2 linked regions of the Pelodiscus sinensis genome follow. The protein of the gene in region 1 purifies or fractionates together with the protein of each later gene. This does not show direct contact. Links are inferred from orthologs where the notes say so. Each region holds a gene or a part of one and is shown on either strand. Other genes may lie near its edges.

Region 1 (7,831 bases):
CAGCACCATAGAGCTGGTGCTGGGGGAGGAAACCAGCTTTTAAGCCAGCTCCTGCCCCACCCACTGCCTCTCATACAGAGGCAGCAAGCAGGTGGAGGGAAGCAAGTAGTCAAATACTCGACTCCCGGCTACACTTAGCCTTATCTGGTAGCCAAGAACTCAACTACTTGCTCACATCACTAGCTCAGGGGTGTGAAAAGTTCACAACCAGTTCTACCAACCTAACTTCCAATGCAGACAATACTATGTTGTTGGCACTTTACCACTTTTTGCATCATTTTGTCAACCCTCACCTTGAGGAACTAGGCATTCTCCTATATGTGTTACATTTTTGCTCTTCGAAAAAGCTAAGAAGGTGCCACCTCCAACTATCACGGAGTGACTAGCTCTTTTAAGAGGGGGCAGGGCCCGGGCACCTACTGATTAGTTGCCTCCCAAAGGGGGTTAAGAAAAGGCACCTGAGCTACATAAAAGCGAAGTCAGGAAAGCCGGATCAAGAAGAAAGGACAGATGCAGAAACAGAAGCAGCAAAGGAGAGCAGGTGCAGAGAGCTATTGGGAAGAACAAAAGCTAAAGAGTATTACTGATGGGGACTGGCCAATGCTGAAAGCTGGTGCAGAGGCCCCTAGAAACAAAGGGAAGAGCCAGCCTGGTTAGGGAAAGTCAAATCCAAACCAATAAGATTGATGCAACAGAATGGTTCCCAAAAGCAGGAAGAATTTAGGAAGGCCTACGTGAGTAACTCAGCTAGTTCACGTGGGAGACCTGATTTGGGATTACCAGAGAATAGTCAAGAGGAAGGAAGCAAATGTGGGAACTCTCAAGTGGATGGCCTGGAGACTGGAGTTCTGGAACATGACAGATGATATCCCAGAATGGGGGAGGGGGGAGCTGAGAACCTCCTCTACTTTAGGATTTTGGAGAGAATGGTGTTATGAGGAGTCTGCAGATTACTGAACAAATACTAGAATACTATTCTTACAGTTAAGCCTTTGAATTGAACATAGAAATAAGGGTTACTTTTATGGCTGGACCAAGAAGAAACTCAGATACACACACACACCACCCCCCCCCCCAGCGCAGCTTATGGCTTGGGGGTTACCTTGTCAGTCATGAAGACAAACCAATTCCATTTCCATTAACACAGAGTAACTGCTTTGAGAAACCTAGTCTTACATAGGTTTTTAGATTATTTTTTAAAAGCCATGACACAAATTAAGTAGAATTTCCTCACCACTTGGTTTCTCTCAAGCTGACATTTTTTGTTTACAAAGAACTAGGGGGCTGCATCCCCTGCTCACTATGCTCGCCAACCCTCCTTCTCTGGGGGTAGGCAGCCAGGGTCAGCCACTGGGAAGGGCCAGGTTGATGCATGGCAGCCCTGGCCTACCCCCTTTCCTCCCACCCATCACACCAGTCCTGGCTCTCTTCCTCCAGCTGCCAGCGGGGAAAGGGTGTTAGGCCAGGCGGTGGCAGCCCCGGCTCCCATCTGGAGCACTAGAGAGGGAGGAGGTAAGCAGGACGTAGTGACATAATGACATCACTGTCATCCCACATGAAAAAATTTAGATTAGATAGATATTTAAGGAGTGTTGAGTAATGAAACACTCACCTTTGGAGATAACTCAATTATATGCGCGCGCGCCCACACACACACACACACACACTTCCAATCCTGCAGAGACCTACTGTGTATAATTTTATTCATGGAAGTAATCCAACTACATGCAATGGGATTACTCACTAGGATAAACACTTGCAGAATTGAGCCTAAAGGTGTATTCACCTAACAGCCACTCCTTTTATTATATCCTTGGGACTTGTTCGCGGTTACATGGTTTACCAGGGCAAATCAGGAGGAAACCCAATACAGAGACCCCAACTTTGGATTTATACTCGCTAGAGAAGTGGTTCTCAACCTATCGCCATTGTGGGTCACAGCCACACACTATAGATACACAATACTGCCTATATAGCCCTGAGGGTGTCACTTGCACCACAGCTATATGCTGATTGAGCACAAAGTGGTCCACAGGTCAATAACCTCTGCCCAGGAGAGGTGTATGATCTCCAAAGCCTTGCGTTAAACACAACCCCTATCCAAAATTACTGTCTTGCTCCAACATCACAGCTAGTACTCTGAAAACCTAAATTTGTTGTAGGTTGTTCAACTACCTCTATTATAGTCAACACTGCATGTTCACATAAGCCACGCTATTTACTAGGGATGTAAATCCTGATTAATCAGCTAAACAATAACAGATTAATCAACTGGTTAACCAATTAAGTGGGACTCCAGCTGCCAGCATCAGTCACCAGGGGCTGCCTAACAGTGCTGAAGCAGCTCTCCATCATGGCAGGTTGAAGCAGTAGGCTGCTCGTGGGGAACCATTTATGTTGTGTGATGGGAGTACTTAGCTTCCTCCCAACATGAAATTGGGTTTATTACTTTAAACTGAACTGGGTTCTGAACATGACACTTCTAAAACAGTAACATTCCATTAATACTAACCATCATAAATATATCCTGCCATAAGTCATCTTCCATCCACTGAACAATTGTCCAGCCAAAATTTAAGTGCCTGTATGGTGCTGGAAAGACTAATTTAGCAGCACAGAGATTAAGTTCTAACAAGAGTCTGGCATATTATTCATTTACTATTTCTGTGCACACAGTGGTTTAATGACTGATAAATTAACTTATGCACTGTATCTACTATAATTTTGAAATGGTCCATTTGATGACATTTTTTACTTTACGAATACCTCAATCCCCAACTGGTTTATAAAACAGGGCTGTACTGAACAAGAATTCACATTACACAAAAAATAATTTAATATACCTTTGGTCCCATGGTGACAGCTACAGCATCTGCTAGAAGATCTACTCCCTGTAGCATAAGAGCTCTAGCATCTGCTCCAAATTTAACATCTTTTGCATAGGTCCGTAGTAGGTGTGGGGCCAGTGCTCTGGACACTGGCCTCATCTGACGTAGCACTGTTGATAAACGGAGCATTTCTGAAGCATAAATTAAAATAAAAAAACACAACCACGTTAGTTTTCATTTGTCACAGTCCTTTGAACAGCCTTATTCCTACATTTTGTCCTCAAATTCCTCCCAAAATTTAAGGAATAAATAAATTACTAATAGTTCTTGAGTTTTAAATGAAAGCTGTGACCTAACAAATATTCAGTACCCTAATTTTACTAGACACTGGATACCAGAGCGAAAGTCCGGCCACCTGGAATCCTAGATTCTAATTCCAGCTCAGCCAGTGACAGGCTATGTGATCCTGGGCAAGTCACAACTCCTGCAGCTCCGTTTTTAGTCTGTAAAATGTGAATAAAGTGTATCAAGCTCACCAGAACGTGATGTTCATTTTGTTTTTCACATGCAGAGATTACAGCCACGGTGACAATGAGTTTTATCACAGCACTATTATGTGTTAGAGAACAGGGAAAGGGGCATTTCTCTCTCCCAGAGTGGGCGGGACGACTATAGACAAGGCTGGTCAGAGCTCAGCAGCTTTATCAGCAGAAATGTCCCCAAAATGAAGTCCCCGTTCCCCAAGGGGCACGCGACAGGGAAAGCCAAGCCCGCGCTGTCCCAGGGCGAGAGCATGTCACTAGCAACTAGCACAAAAGCTGCAACAGTAGCAACAGCCCGGCAGAGTCAGCAAAGCCCCGGCCCCCCGCACGGTTCTCACCGTCAGGACACAGCAAGGTCAAGAGGCGCTCGCCCCCTGCTGCTGCCGAGCCGCGCTGCACGGCGGGCAGGGAGCGGAGCCGGCCACGGGCTCAGGGCAGCGTGCAGCCCGGCAGCGGAAGGCACGGCACGAGGGCCGGTTCCCACGCGTGCGGGGCCAGGGGCGGGGGCAGCGCAGCCGAGCGGGGAACACGCTGCCCCCCCCCCCAGGCTCGCCACGTCTCCCCCGCCCCCCCCCACAGGCTCGCCACGTGCCCCCCCACCCCGACCCCCCCCAGGCTCGCCACGTGCCCCCCCCACGTTCCCCCCCAGGCTCGCCACGTCTCCCCCGCCCCGACCCCCCCCAGGCTCGCCACGTGCCCCCCCCAGGCTCGCCACGTCTCCCCCCGCCCCACGCCCCCCCCAGGCTCGCCACGTGCCCCCCCGCCCCACGTTCCCCCCCCAGGCTCGCCACGTGCCCCCCCGCCCCACGCCCCCCCCAGGCTCGCCACGTGCCCCCCCGCCCCACGTTCCCCCCCCAGGCTCGCCACGTGCCCCCCCGCCCCACGTTCCCCCCCAGGCTCGCCACGTGCCCCCCCCCCCACGTTCCCCCCCAGGCTCGCCACGTGCCCCCCCCAGGCGAAGGTCTCCCCTCCCCCCAGCCCGCGCGCAGGAGGCGGGGAGCCGCTCACACCGTGCGGGCCGGGCGGACAGGGGCTGTGAGGGGCCGCTCACCTGCGCTGGGAGGGCTGGGAGCTGGCGAGCCGCGCGGCGGGACTGACGGGAGCCTGGAGGGAACACGGCGCTGGCCAGCCCTGCCCCTCCCCCGCGCACGCAGCGGCCCATGTGGGTCCCGGGCAGCGCGGCCCCGCAAGCCGCATAACAGCATACGCGGGCCCCGGCGAGGGGCGGGGCGCGGCTTCCCGCCAATCGCGGAAGCGCGTAGCCGGGGCGTGGGCGGGGCCTGCGAGACCTCGCGCCCTATGTGCGCCCGCCGCTTCCTAGCGTGTGAATCATACAGATTTCGGGGCCTCCCCATTCCAGAACCTTCTGGAACGCTCATGCTCGCCACAGGTCAAAGGTGGTATTGCGTCACTTCCGGATGTTCGTCCGCTGCCGGGCGCAACGAGGCGGTACTGAGGCCGCCGTTTAACATCGCCGCATAGAGAGTCCGGTTCTCGTGCGGAAACTGCCGGCGAGAGTAAAAAAATACAAGTGCCGAAAGCATTTGTCTCCCAGGAACAACGGAAGTAGCCCCGCCTTCCGGCGCGCGCCGCTCGAGGGGAGGGGGAGGCGCATGCGCAGCGGGAGTGGTCCACCCCACGTGCAGTCGCGGCGGGTCAGTGGGGCGCTCAGTCGCAGAGCGGGAGGGACACGCTGCGCCATGGTGAGCGTCTCGTCCCGCCGCGCGGTGCTGCCGGGGCCCGCCCCTGGGCCGCAGTGGGGGGGCGGCGGCTCTGGGCACCCCCCAGTTGCCGCCCTGGGGCTGCGGGGCCCGGGGTTGCCCGGGGGGCGGCGGCGCTGAGCGCGGGGCCGGGGGGCGGGGGGGTTACCGCAGTGGGGCGAGACGCGACACGCGATCGCCCGGGCACATCCGCTGGGTCGGCCCGGAGCCCCTGGGCATGGAAACGTGTCCTAGCAGCTGAACAGGCAGCGAGCCTCCCTGAACCCTCATTCCCAGCTGGCCTGGGACTTGCCCAGGAACCGTCTTCTTAATCAATACAGTATAATTGGGCTGGGTTTCGTCTCTTGGCTTGTCCCTGAGCCTGACCTTGCCTGCTCACAAGGTCATGTAAATACCGCAGAAACTGTTAAGCCATGGTGGTAGAGATGTAGCCGTGTTAGTCTGGGGTAGCTGAAGCAAAATGCAGGACAATGTAGCACTTTAAAGACTAACAAGATGGTTTATTAGATGATGAGCTTTCGTGGGCCAGACCCACTTCCTCAGATCAAATCATGTTAAGCCATGGAACCAGTGAGGGCAAGGATGACCTTTTTCAAATACGTTTGTTCTCTCACCGTTTCTATCACTAAGAGAGACAGTAAGTTATTTTTAAAAGTCAAACTTAATACAGTGATATTAAGTGCTACACAGTCCTGTATTTTGTTTCAAACTTAATAAAGCGATAGTGAGCTCGTATTAGTAGGTCTCTGTAATGTGTCTTTAGACGATGCCAAATCCAACAGCCACAGCGGGAGGAAAAAACTCCTTTCTAATTTTTTCTATTTTTTTTTTGTTGATCCCTTTAGTATGTGGTCGTTCCTGTCACAGAAAACACTGATTTAAAAGAACATAAGTTAGTATAAAAAGACCCCAAATTCTTAAATCTATGCAATTGGTTAAACTAGATGTTTTCAACATGTTGATAGCCTTGCCCAAGTCTTAATAGAACTGGGGGATGAACCAACGTTCGCTAATACTTTTAAGAATATTTTTGATCTGGCAATCATATCCGCATCCTGCTTCCAAATTTATTTTTTTGTGTAGCAATAGCCCCTAAGGGAGAGATCCGGGCTTGTGCGTTCTCTGTATTTCTAGCTGATTCTACACGTGTCCAGGCTGTGGCACTTTGACATCTGTAGAAGCAACTGGAATGGTGCTGGAAGCCAGCAGCCTGTGACTTGGCAATTCTTCATATGCAACAACTTGATTGCTTTTAAACTAAAATGTGTTCTGGCTCTCTTTGGCTCCCTTTCTTGTGTTACTTGCTTAGTGAAGTTGCAAGGATTGCAGACTTGTATGTGGCTTGCACTCTGTGATCTCAAACACTGCTGTTACCTCCTGGCTCAGTAGTTAAGACTGACATTTTTAACAGCCCTAGGTTGGTAACCTTTGCTATTGCCTGCTGCTAGCTTCAAAGTAATTGCAGTTCTCAGTGTTGGGTTTTCTTTCTCCATCCTCAGCTGCACCCGCTCCCCCTCCTGCTTTCTGTTCCTTCTCCATGCAGCAAAGAGGCAGTGTTTGTAATATAGTTAATATATTATTATATATTTTAGAGTTTGTTTATTCAAGATCTCCTAGATGGTAAGAGTTGGGACCAACATAAGGGATGGGTATACGTGGAATGGGATCACTTCTCATAAAACCATACATAAAAGAGACACTCACCAGGCAGGTGAAAGGGGCTGATTGGGGGTGCACCCTTCTCCACTCTCTGGGACTGGCCAGCACTGAACCTCCCATCTCGCAGGGCCCATTAGGGAGGATGGGAAGGGCTGAAGCTTCTGCTGTTTAAATAGTAAAATCTTGTATTTTGGATTGCAACTTTGTTGCAGTCTCCAAAGTGATTTGGTCTTTTCTGTACAGTACAAAAATATTGAATTCTATTTCAACAGGCTGGGAAAGCATTTAGGAAATTTCTTCCTTTATTTGACCGTGTTCTGGTTGAAAAATGTGCAGCTGAGACTGTAACCAAAGGAGGAATCATGCTTCCAGAAAAATCTCAAGGGAAAGTGCTACAAGCAACAGTAGTGGCAATTGGATCAGGATCCAAAGGAAAGGTAAATCTATCCCAATTTTGCACATCACTAACTTTTTTGGATAAAACAAATAGAAGCAGGATGTTATCTGAAAAATGAAAATCTAGATAGCTAAATGATGTTTGTCCTTACATTTACATTGTGCCTGATCTAAACAATGTCTATAATATTTTGAAGAGGACATTTTTAAAAAGAGCCAAGATCTCCTCAGATCTAATTTGGCACAGATAGTCGCTGACCAATTTACTGTGCTTGTCTTTGTCCCCATCTGTAAAATGAGTAATAATACCTCTTTCACAAATGTTTTGAGAGAGCTAGTTATTGATGGTTGTAAAGAGCTTTAAAGAAAACAAGCTCTTTTTAAAAAAATGTTTTCTGGGATGATAGTTTTTCTTGCTTTGGCATTAATTGTTAAATGATGCAATCTGAGTGTTGGGAGGCTGAAGGCTCGTTTTTGCATCATGGAATAAATTGTTGAATAGTCTTATTGATTAAATTGCTATGGCCCACAGTGTGTTTCCACGTTTTAAGAGCAGAACAGAAATACAGACCATGGTTTGTATTAAATATTATGAATAGTCTTGGGTTGTGCAAAACATCATGTGTTAATTAAAGCTTTTAAGTGTTCTAGCTTCTTGGACTTTCCAGTTTTAGAATAACTGGAG
Region 2 (7,482 bases), on another chromosome or scaffold:
TCCAAATCCACCTGTTCCCCACCCTCTAATAATTTTCAATCCCTCTGAATATGCTGCTTACCTGTGAATCCCTGAAGACATGCAGCAGGAAGCCCATTTCTAACAGCCGGGACTTTGAATCGTAACCCCAGACTCATTCTTCCCCTTCACTTGTCCTGTGGCAGAAAGTGGAGACTTTTGCACTATAGACGAGAACAAGTGAGGTTGCTGTAGCTACTTCCCTGCTTCTCCCTTTAGAGACCCTAATGTATAAATGCTTTTCTAGCTACAAGAAGCATGGCAAGGGGCTGCCACTATCTCCTGTATTCCCCTTGATCTTGCTGCACTATTGACCAGGGGGCTGGAGAAGAGGGTTCTAGGGCAGAGAGCACAAGGGAAAGCAACAATCTGTTTGCTTATAGTGATCCTTAGCAAGGCAGAACAGCTGAAAGGCTTTTACCACAATGTCCATAATAGAAGAGCCCATAGCAGATCATACTAGACTCCGGATAATCATAGCTTGTCTTTTCAGTTGCTGTCACTTGTACAAACGGTGTACAGTACAGATAGCTCATGCACCTAACCACTAAAATGGAGTACAGGAAGTCCCCGGGTTACATGGATCCGACTTACATCGGATCCCTACTTACAAACGGGGTGAGGCAACCCCGCACTAGCTGCTTCCCCCCAGCAGACCAGGGAGAAGTGAAGCTAGCGCTCCCCCCCCCCCAGCAGACCAGGGAGACGTGGAGCGGCTTTCCTCAGCAGACACCTCAGCTTGAGAATAAAGGACTGAGGGAAGTGAGGTGTGGGAGAATAAAACTGAGCTCTGGAGAAATGTTTGGCTAGAGTTTCCCCTACAATATGTACCAGTTCCGACTTACATACAAATTCAACTTAAGAACAAACCTACAGTCCCTATCTTGTACGTAACCCGGGGACTGCCTGTAGTGCACAGCAGCCTTCAGCTCTAACTGCAATATACAACAATGTTGTTTTAGGTCAAGGAACGACAATTGCCAAAACTCTTATGATTTCATTACAAGTCTCATAATATTTTAGCTGTCTCAGATGCTGGAGACATGTGATGAAGTGAAAATTCCACTTTTTTAAAAATATGTTTCTGGCCTTCATGGTAGTGGAGAAAGGCTTGGAAATCAGATCTGAGAGCACCCAAAAAAGCAGACAACTAAAAAGAAACCAAAATGGACTGGCTTTAATCTTGTGATTTTGGGGGCCCTCTTTATGATTTTCAAACATGAACAACTGGTAATACAGAATATAAATCCTGCAAAAAACAATATTCTGGATGAGAAATGGCCAGGACATTGTAATTAACATCAAATTTTTCAAAATACAGCCCACATCTTTCATGACCAGGCCTGTCTGAACCTTGATGTTATGTAAAGAGGTGACAGCTCCAGTAATTCAGTACCTTCCTACTACATCATGGGTTCCTATTATTCAGGTTTCAGTGTTACCATTCCTAATTTAGGCCTGTAATCCAGGCAGCCTATTTATCCATTTATCAGTACCTCAATATTCCCCTTGCATTGATTCATATCCATTTTATTATCTACAAAATTACTCAGAGATCCCCATTTGCAATTCTAATGCTAAGCCATTATTTTCCCATTTTAAACCTGTGTATTTGATTATTCCTCCCTACATGAAACTGCTGAACCTCTTTTTGCTGATTTTATGCCATTTAAAAAATTTATTTAGTTCTTACGCTATTTTAATTCTGTCATACAACCGTATTTGCTGCCCTTTTAAGCTTCTTTGTATTTGTCCACTGAGGTCATGCTTGCACTCTTCCCTCCATTCATTGAGTTGTTAATAAATGCACTAGGATTTCCTCCTTTTTAGCCTAAGAAGGCACAGGGGACAAATCAACTATCTGTCTCTGTGTAGTCACCTCCTCAAAAGTTTAAGACATTTGGCATTTCAAGTTAAAACACTGCAATTTGTTTCTTTTAGCATTACTTTCAATTACCTTCAAGGTGTTGGTTGGTCTTCAGAACATAGTATGGTGAGATTGTGGGACTTCAATAAGCATCTTGTGCTTTAAAGTGATCTGAAAAAACGGGGGGGGGGGGGGCATCATTAACTGAAAGCAGCAGCTTTGGTAAGACAGGTGTAAAGTGCAGCCTTCAGCAGCTGTTTTATTTTTTGGGAACTCTGTGACCCCTGTGTACCCCACCACCACAGTGGGTGCACTGTCCATCGGGGTGTTTGAGAAACCCTGCCACACTAACCGCATTCATGGCCCACATCAGGGATGTTAAAACGTGTTCAATTATGCAAACACGTAACTAAGGTCGCCGGATGGTTTCAACAAAAATACCGGACACACTTGCGGTTGCATCACAATCTACATCCCATCTGATTGAGAAAACACCGGACATTTCTATTTCCGCAATTTGCTTCCCGAACAGAAACTGAAATACTGGACAGTCCGGTCCAAGCCGGGCACCTGGCAGCCCTAGGTAACCCCTGACAAACCCGAGTGGTTACAGGCCGGGGGTCCTCAGGAGCCGGGTTTTAACCTGGCTCCCACGCTGTAACCGGGAAGGTCAAACGATGACCCCGTGGACACGGTTACGCGTGCCCGGCCCTAGTGCAAATCGCTGCCGTTACACTGAGGGATCTGGGGGAGGGGGGGGGTCGCCCCTGTTACTGCCCCACGCGTGTTTAGCAGGGGCAGGACGGAATCTCGAGACACCCCCCAGCCAGGCCCGGAGATCTCCGCGAGCAACGTCCTGGTGGGGTGGGCTCCAGCGCTGGGGCTGGGCGCGAGGCCCTATGGCCCTGCCCGGGGGCACGGAGCCGCTGCGGGGAGGGAAACACCCGGCCCGTGGGCTGCGTGTCCTCCGCGTTGTAAAGCCTAGGCCGCGGATGTTACCATGGCAACCAGCGAGCTCCCCGCATTCGGCCACCCACCTCTCCCCCGAGAGGGCGGAGTTGAGGGGCTGCGCTACGCGAGGCCATACGGTACCCGTCATGCTCCGCGCGCGTGCGCACGCGCACAGGGGGGAAGCAGTTACCGGAAGTGAGAGTGCATTTCCGGCGGCAGCAGCGGGGTGGCCTGGCCTCCTGCTCCGTGGTGGGGTCTCGGTGTCTCGTTCCCCGCCCGCCCCGGTCTCACCCTCCCCTTCCCCGCCATCATGAAGGACGTGCCGGGCTTCCTGCAGCAGAGCCAGAGCTCGGGGCCGGGCCAGGCCGCCGTGTGGCACCGCCTGGAGGAGCTCTACACCAAGAAGTGAGCGGGCCGGCGGGGGCGGGGGCTGCTCCCCGGCGCGGGGTGGGTCGGTCCCCCCGCGCGAGCCTGGCTCCTGGCGGGCGCTGGGCGGCTCGAGCGCTCTGTTGGAGCGAGCGGGTGTCGGGGCTTCTGTTCCGCCCGGAGACGCTCCCTGCCCCAGACCCCCGGGGCGGGGGCTCGTCCTGTAACCCCCTGTGCGCGCACAGGCCCCGCCCCCAGCACTTCGGTGCAGCATCAGCATCGCGCCTTGACTCTGCGGGCCAGAGGTCCCGCAGGGGTTCGCAAACTCTGGCTCGGGCCTCCAGAGTGGGGGGGGGGGGGGGGCATCCCATTTTAATGAGGTCGCCAAGCCTCGTGTTAGGCTTGCTGGGCATCAGGGCCGAGACCAAAAGCTTCAGGTTTGCTGCCCCAGCTCGGGACTATGAGTAGGCTCAGGCTCCAGTCCCCTGTCTGGGGTCATGCAGTAATTTTTGTTGTTAGGAGTCAGCGCAAGAGAGTTGGAAACTCCCTGATAGTGATGCTCAAGTCATGCAGTCCCCCTTGTAGTTATGTGACCCTGTGCTGTTCAGTTAATCTCCAATTTAAAAGAGACCTTTAATGTAAAGCCGCCCACGGTCTTAGTTGGTGTCTTTTTACTTATAGTAGTTACAGGAAACATGTGTGATAATTATAGCAAATTTGAGATGTTTTTTCAGTTTTGTTCTGACCACACTTCATATATGGTTTCATTGTTTAGGTGCTATTGATGTTCATTTGTTTGTCATCTTTGCTCATAGCAAAGACAGAGACACACATTTTCCTATATTTTAAAATTAAATTGTTGAAACAACAAAAAATGTCAGATTGAAGAACCTGAAACCCATACTTCAGTCTTTAAAAAGTAATTGACGAGTGTTTTGAAAATGGGCTAGACATTGGTGTTTTCCTTTTGATTTCTTGCTACTTGTTTCGTCACTGGTAAGAAGATGTCATGAGGGTTGATTTATACTGCTGATTCTCTTTGAGAACTTTTTCAGAAAGCAGCACTCAGGTTTTTATTATTCCTCTGATCTGTGCATGAGGAAAGGGTTTTTAAAATGAAGTCTGGTCTAGAATAGTTTTAAGCTTCATTCTGCTGGCCCTGGCCAGTTGAGGTCTTGACCTTTTTTCTGAACCACAGGCAAATTGAGTCATAAATGAGCCTTTAAATTGGTCCTTATAGATTAGCTGAAATTAGTTATATAGTGTTTGCCTCAGTATTTCAGTAGGTGTCTATTTTTTTTGCTTATTGCACTGATGCTTGCTAATGTCAGGGGCCTCCTTGTTTTTGTTTTTTTCAGACTTTGGCACCAGCTTACTCTGCAGGTGTTGGACTTTGTGCAGGACCCCTGCTTTGCTAAAGGAGATGGACTCATCAAGGTGAGTTGGTTAATTCTTAAGCAAGTGTTAGTGAATAGCATGAACTTTCTTAGGCTGATATCAAATAAGTGTGTGGAGGCCTGCCCCAAAGCATTGTGAAATCAGAAAACATGCTTTAAGCTTCCTAACTGCACACCATGTGTGTCTGGAAAGGTCTGAGTATAAATGTCAACAAACAGATACAATGTATTAGTTTTAGAAGTTTATGGATTGGATCTTATATGCAGGTTTTGGTTTAATCTGGCCATGTTTTATAAAAATTCTAAAGCTAGAAATGGATTACATAAAATGATGGCACTTAATCTGAGGAATGGAATTAGAAGAGTTTCAAGTTTTCACAGGTCTTAATTTGGTTCACCTTATTTTTTAAAAAAGGCCAGTCTTCAGCCTTGTCAACAAAGGTTAACTGTGTATGCACACAGAATGATTTTCCTGAGAGTGCACAAACTCCAGGTATCCGTGCAGATTTCATTCCTCTGTTCCAAGTTGGGTTTATTGTCATCTTTAAGAATGCAGCTCACAGATCCGTGAACTTACATCTCATTTTTCTCTCCTTTGCATTTTATATCAAATTGATTCACCAAATAGATATTGAAATTAATGAGCTATTCATGTTTAGAGAGGAGTGTAGAGATGCCAAAAGAGCCATGCATCTATTGACTATATAGCTACTTAGTGGAATAGTTGTCCTTCATAACAGAGAGGAGTGAACATGCCAAGGTAATCCACTCTTGGTAGAGACTAGTTTTGTACCAACTTGTCGCTCATGAATCTATTAATTGGTGAATCAACCTCCACAGTTTGTTAGGAGGAGACTCTGGCAATTTTTAACTTCTGAAGTCTAGTGTCAATATGCTTTAGACTTTTCCATCTGTGGATACAAAATTACTTTATTTGAGGGAGTTTTATGTGCAGTGATGGGCAAGTTGCCTAGTTCATTATAATGAAATATTCTCCTGTCACTAACTGGCTGTCAATTTTTTTTATTGCCTGCAGCTTTATGAGAATTTCATCAGTGAGTTTGAACACAGGTGAGACTGGCTACTTGTATGTAAGTTTGTCATTTGTGCACTCTTAATTGTAACTTTTCTGATGCTGTGGTGTTCATTTCAGGGTGAACCCTTTGTCTTTGGTAGAGATCATTCTTCATGTAGTTAGACAGATGACAGGTGAGTAACTTTTCTAGTATTAATGGTGACTTTTTAGGGCTGATAGGATTTAACTGGCTGCTGGCAACAGCTAAGACTTCAATATGAGTGAGGCAGTTGGTTTGCACAATACCGAGAGTAAAAAGCATAAACTTATAGAATTTTACTGCTAATGGTCAAATTGCTGTTGCAGAAAAGACTCTTGCTAGAGAGATGGGTGATGCTTATGGTGCCAGATCCTCTGCTAATGCTGATTCATACCAGCTATGTGAAAGGTTTATAAGTGAGCATCACCCTTGGGTGGTGCTTACCAATTTTGGTTAACTGGTGGCTGGAGCAACTCCCTGCCTATTGTGTAGGAGGGACATCCAGCCTGGCCTTGGGAGGGGGCAACTCCAGCACCATGGGACTGGAGAGGGGCCTCCTGCCTAAGCCTCTTTAATTGGTTAACTGGTTGAACATAATGTTTGACCAGATAACTTTTCAGTAGAGGTATGATGGCTCTTACCACCAGAGAATCTAGCTCTGAGTTCTGGAGAGCCAGTTAAGGTGCTTCTGGTAGGTTCAAATATTCTGCTGCTTAGATCCTAAATATGGTCTTTTTTTCTTGCTCCATGTTAGATCCCAATGTGGCCCTTACTTTCCTGGAAAAGACTCGAGAAAAGGTATTTGTGAAATCCATTTTTTTTCTTGTAGGCACAGTTAAGTAAAATGGCTGATACATTTTACGTCTATATGTAGGGCTGTGTAGGCAGACATGTTTACATCTATGGCTATATTGGTGAAGGTGCATTTTTCAAGACATATAATTCTCTGTGAATATGAATTTGATGTGGGAAAACCACAAGAAACACAACCTTAGTTAAATCACAAGTTATGCTAATTTAATATCAGTAGTTGCATGTGTGGCTGGAACCGTTATGTTTCTCTGATGTGTAACTATGTTGTGGTTGCAGGTGAAAAGTAGTGATGAGGCTGTGATTCTATGTAAAACAGCCATTGGAGCTTTGAAGTTAAACATTGGGGACCTGCAGGTCACAAAGGTGAGATTAGTTGGCATTTAGGTTCTGTCTGCTTGAACCCACTCAGTTCATCTGGATGTTCATTTATTTCGGCCTCACTTAGCTATTAGAGGCAGCCCCTCTTTTTGTGTGCTTGTTATTGAATTTTGTGAATTGAGTTCCTCTGTAATCTCTCTTAATCATCATAGTCCAATCTCCTGGAAATCCAGCTCCATTTGGAATAATGGAGAGTGTTTGCATAGTTCATATAACACTGTTTCTTCTAGTTTTAGTCCTTTAGCTGAGATGCTAGTGGCATATGCCTCTACTGCATGACTATCACCACTAGTGACCCATAGCCAGTCATTGTATTTACGTGTGAGAAGGGTTAGAAAAAACCCTTGAGTCACCTTGTCTTGATGTTTCTGTGTCACACTGCAACTTTTTGGTGATGCACTGAATTTAGCATCATGTATGTTGTTTGGCAAATAGCTAAGGAGTATTATGTATCTTTTATTTAGCTTTTTAGTTGAACTTTTTTTTTTTAAATTACAATGGGGTTGGAGCATTGACAGATGGGTTTTCCAAGGGAAGTTGTGGAATCCCCATTAATGGGAGTTTTTAAGAACAGGCTGCACAGAAGCTGTCAGGGATGGTTTAAGTTTATTTGATCCTGCCTCAGCATGGATGGCAT

The links.
Region 2: the proteins of HSPD1 (region 1) and SIRT3 purify together in Homo sapiens (affinity purification with mass spectrometry; 3 studies listed by BioGRID and IntAct, counting the BioPlex papers as one, with this or other methods). This does not show direct contact. The link is inferred for Pelodiscus sinensis from reciprocal best matches to the Homo sapiens genes HSPD1 and SIRT3.

What each region holds. Positions count from the first base shown.
Region 1 is NC_134717.1:71,507,565-71,515,395, forward strand, and holds the start of HSPD1 (60 kDa heat shock protein, mitochondrial), read right to left. Parts: upstream 3,018-7,831; coding exon 2,844-3,017; intron 1-2,843. Other genes in the region: MOB-like protein phocein, read left to right, coding at 4,984-5,073, 7,023-7,187. UniProt on the Homo sapiens protein: Chaperonin implicated in mitochondrial protein import and macromolecular assembly. Together with Hsp10, facilitates the correct folding of imported proteins.
Region 2 is NC_134714.1:124,537,624-124,545,105, reverse strand, and holds the start of SIRT3 (NAD-dependent protein deacetylase sirtuin-3, mitochondrial), read right to left. Parts: upstream 3,007-7,482; 5' UTR 2,885-3,006; intron 2,057-2,884; 5' UTR 1,976-2,056; intron 427-1,975; exon of another isoform or gene 183-426; 5' UTR 138-182; coding exon 62-137; intron 1-61. Other genes in the region: PSMD13 (26S proteasome non-ATPase regulatory subunit 13), read left to right, coding at 3,147-3,241, 4,561-4,639, 5,636-5,670, 5,753-5,808, 6,409-6,452, 6,744-6,830.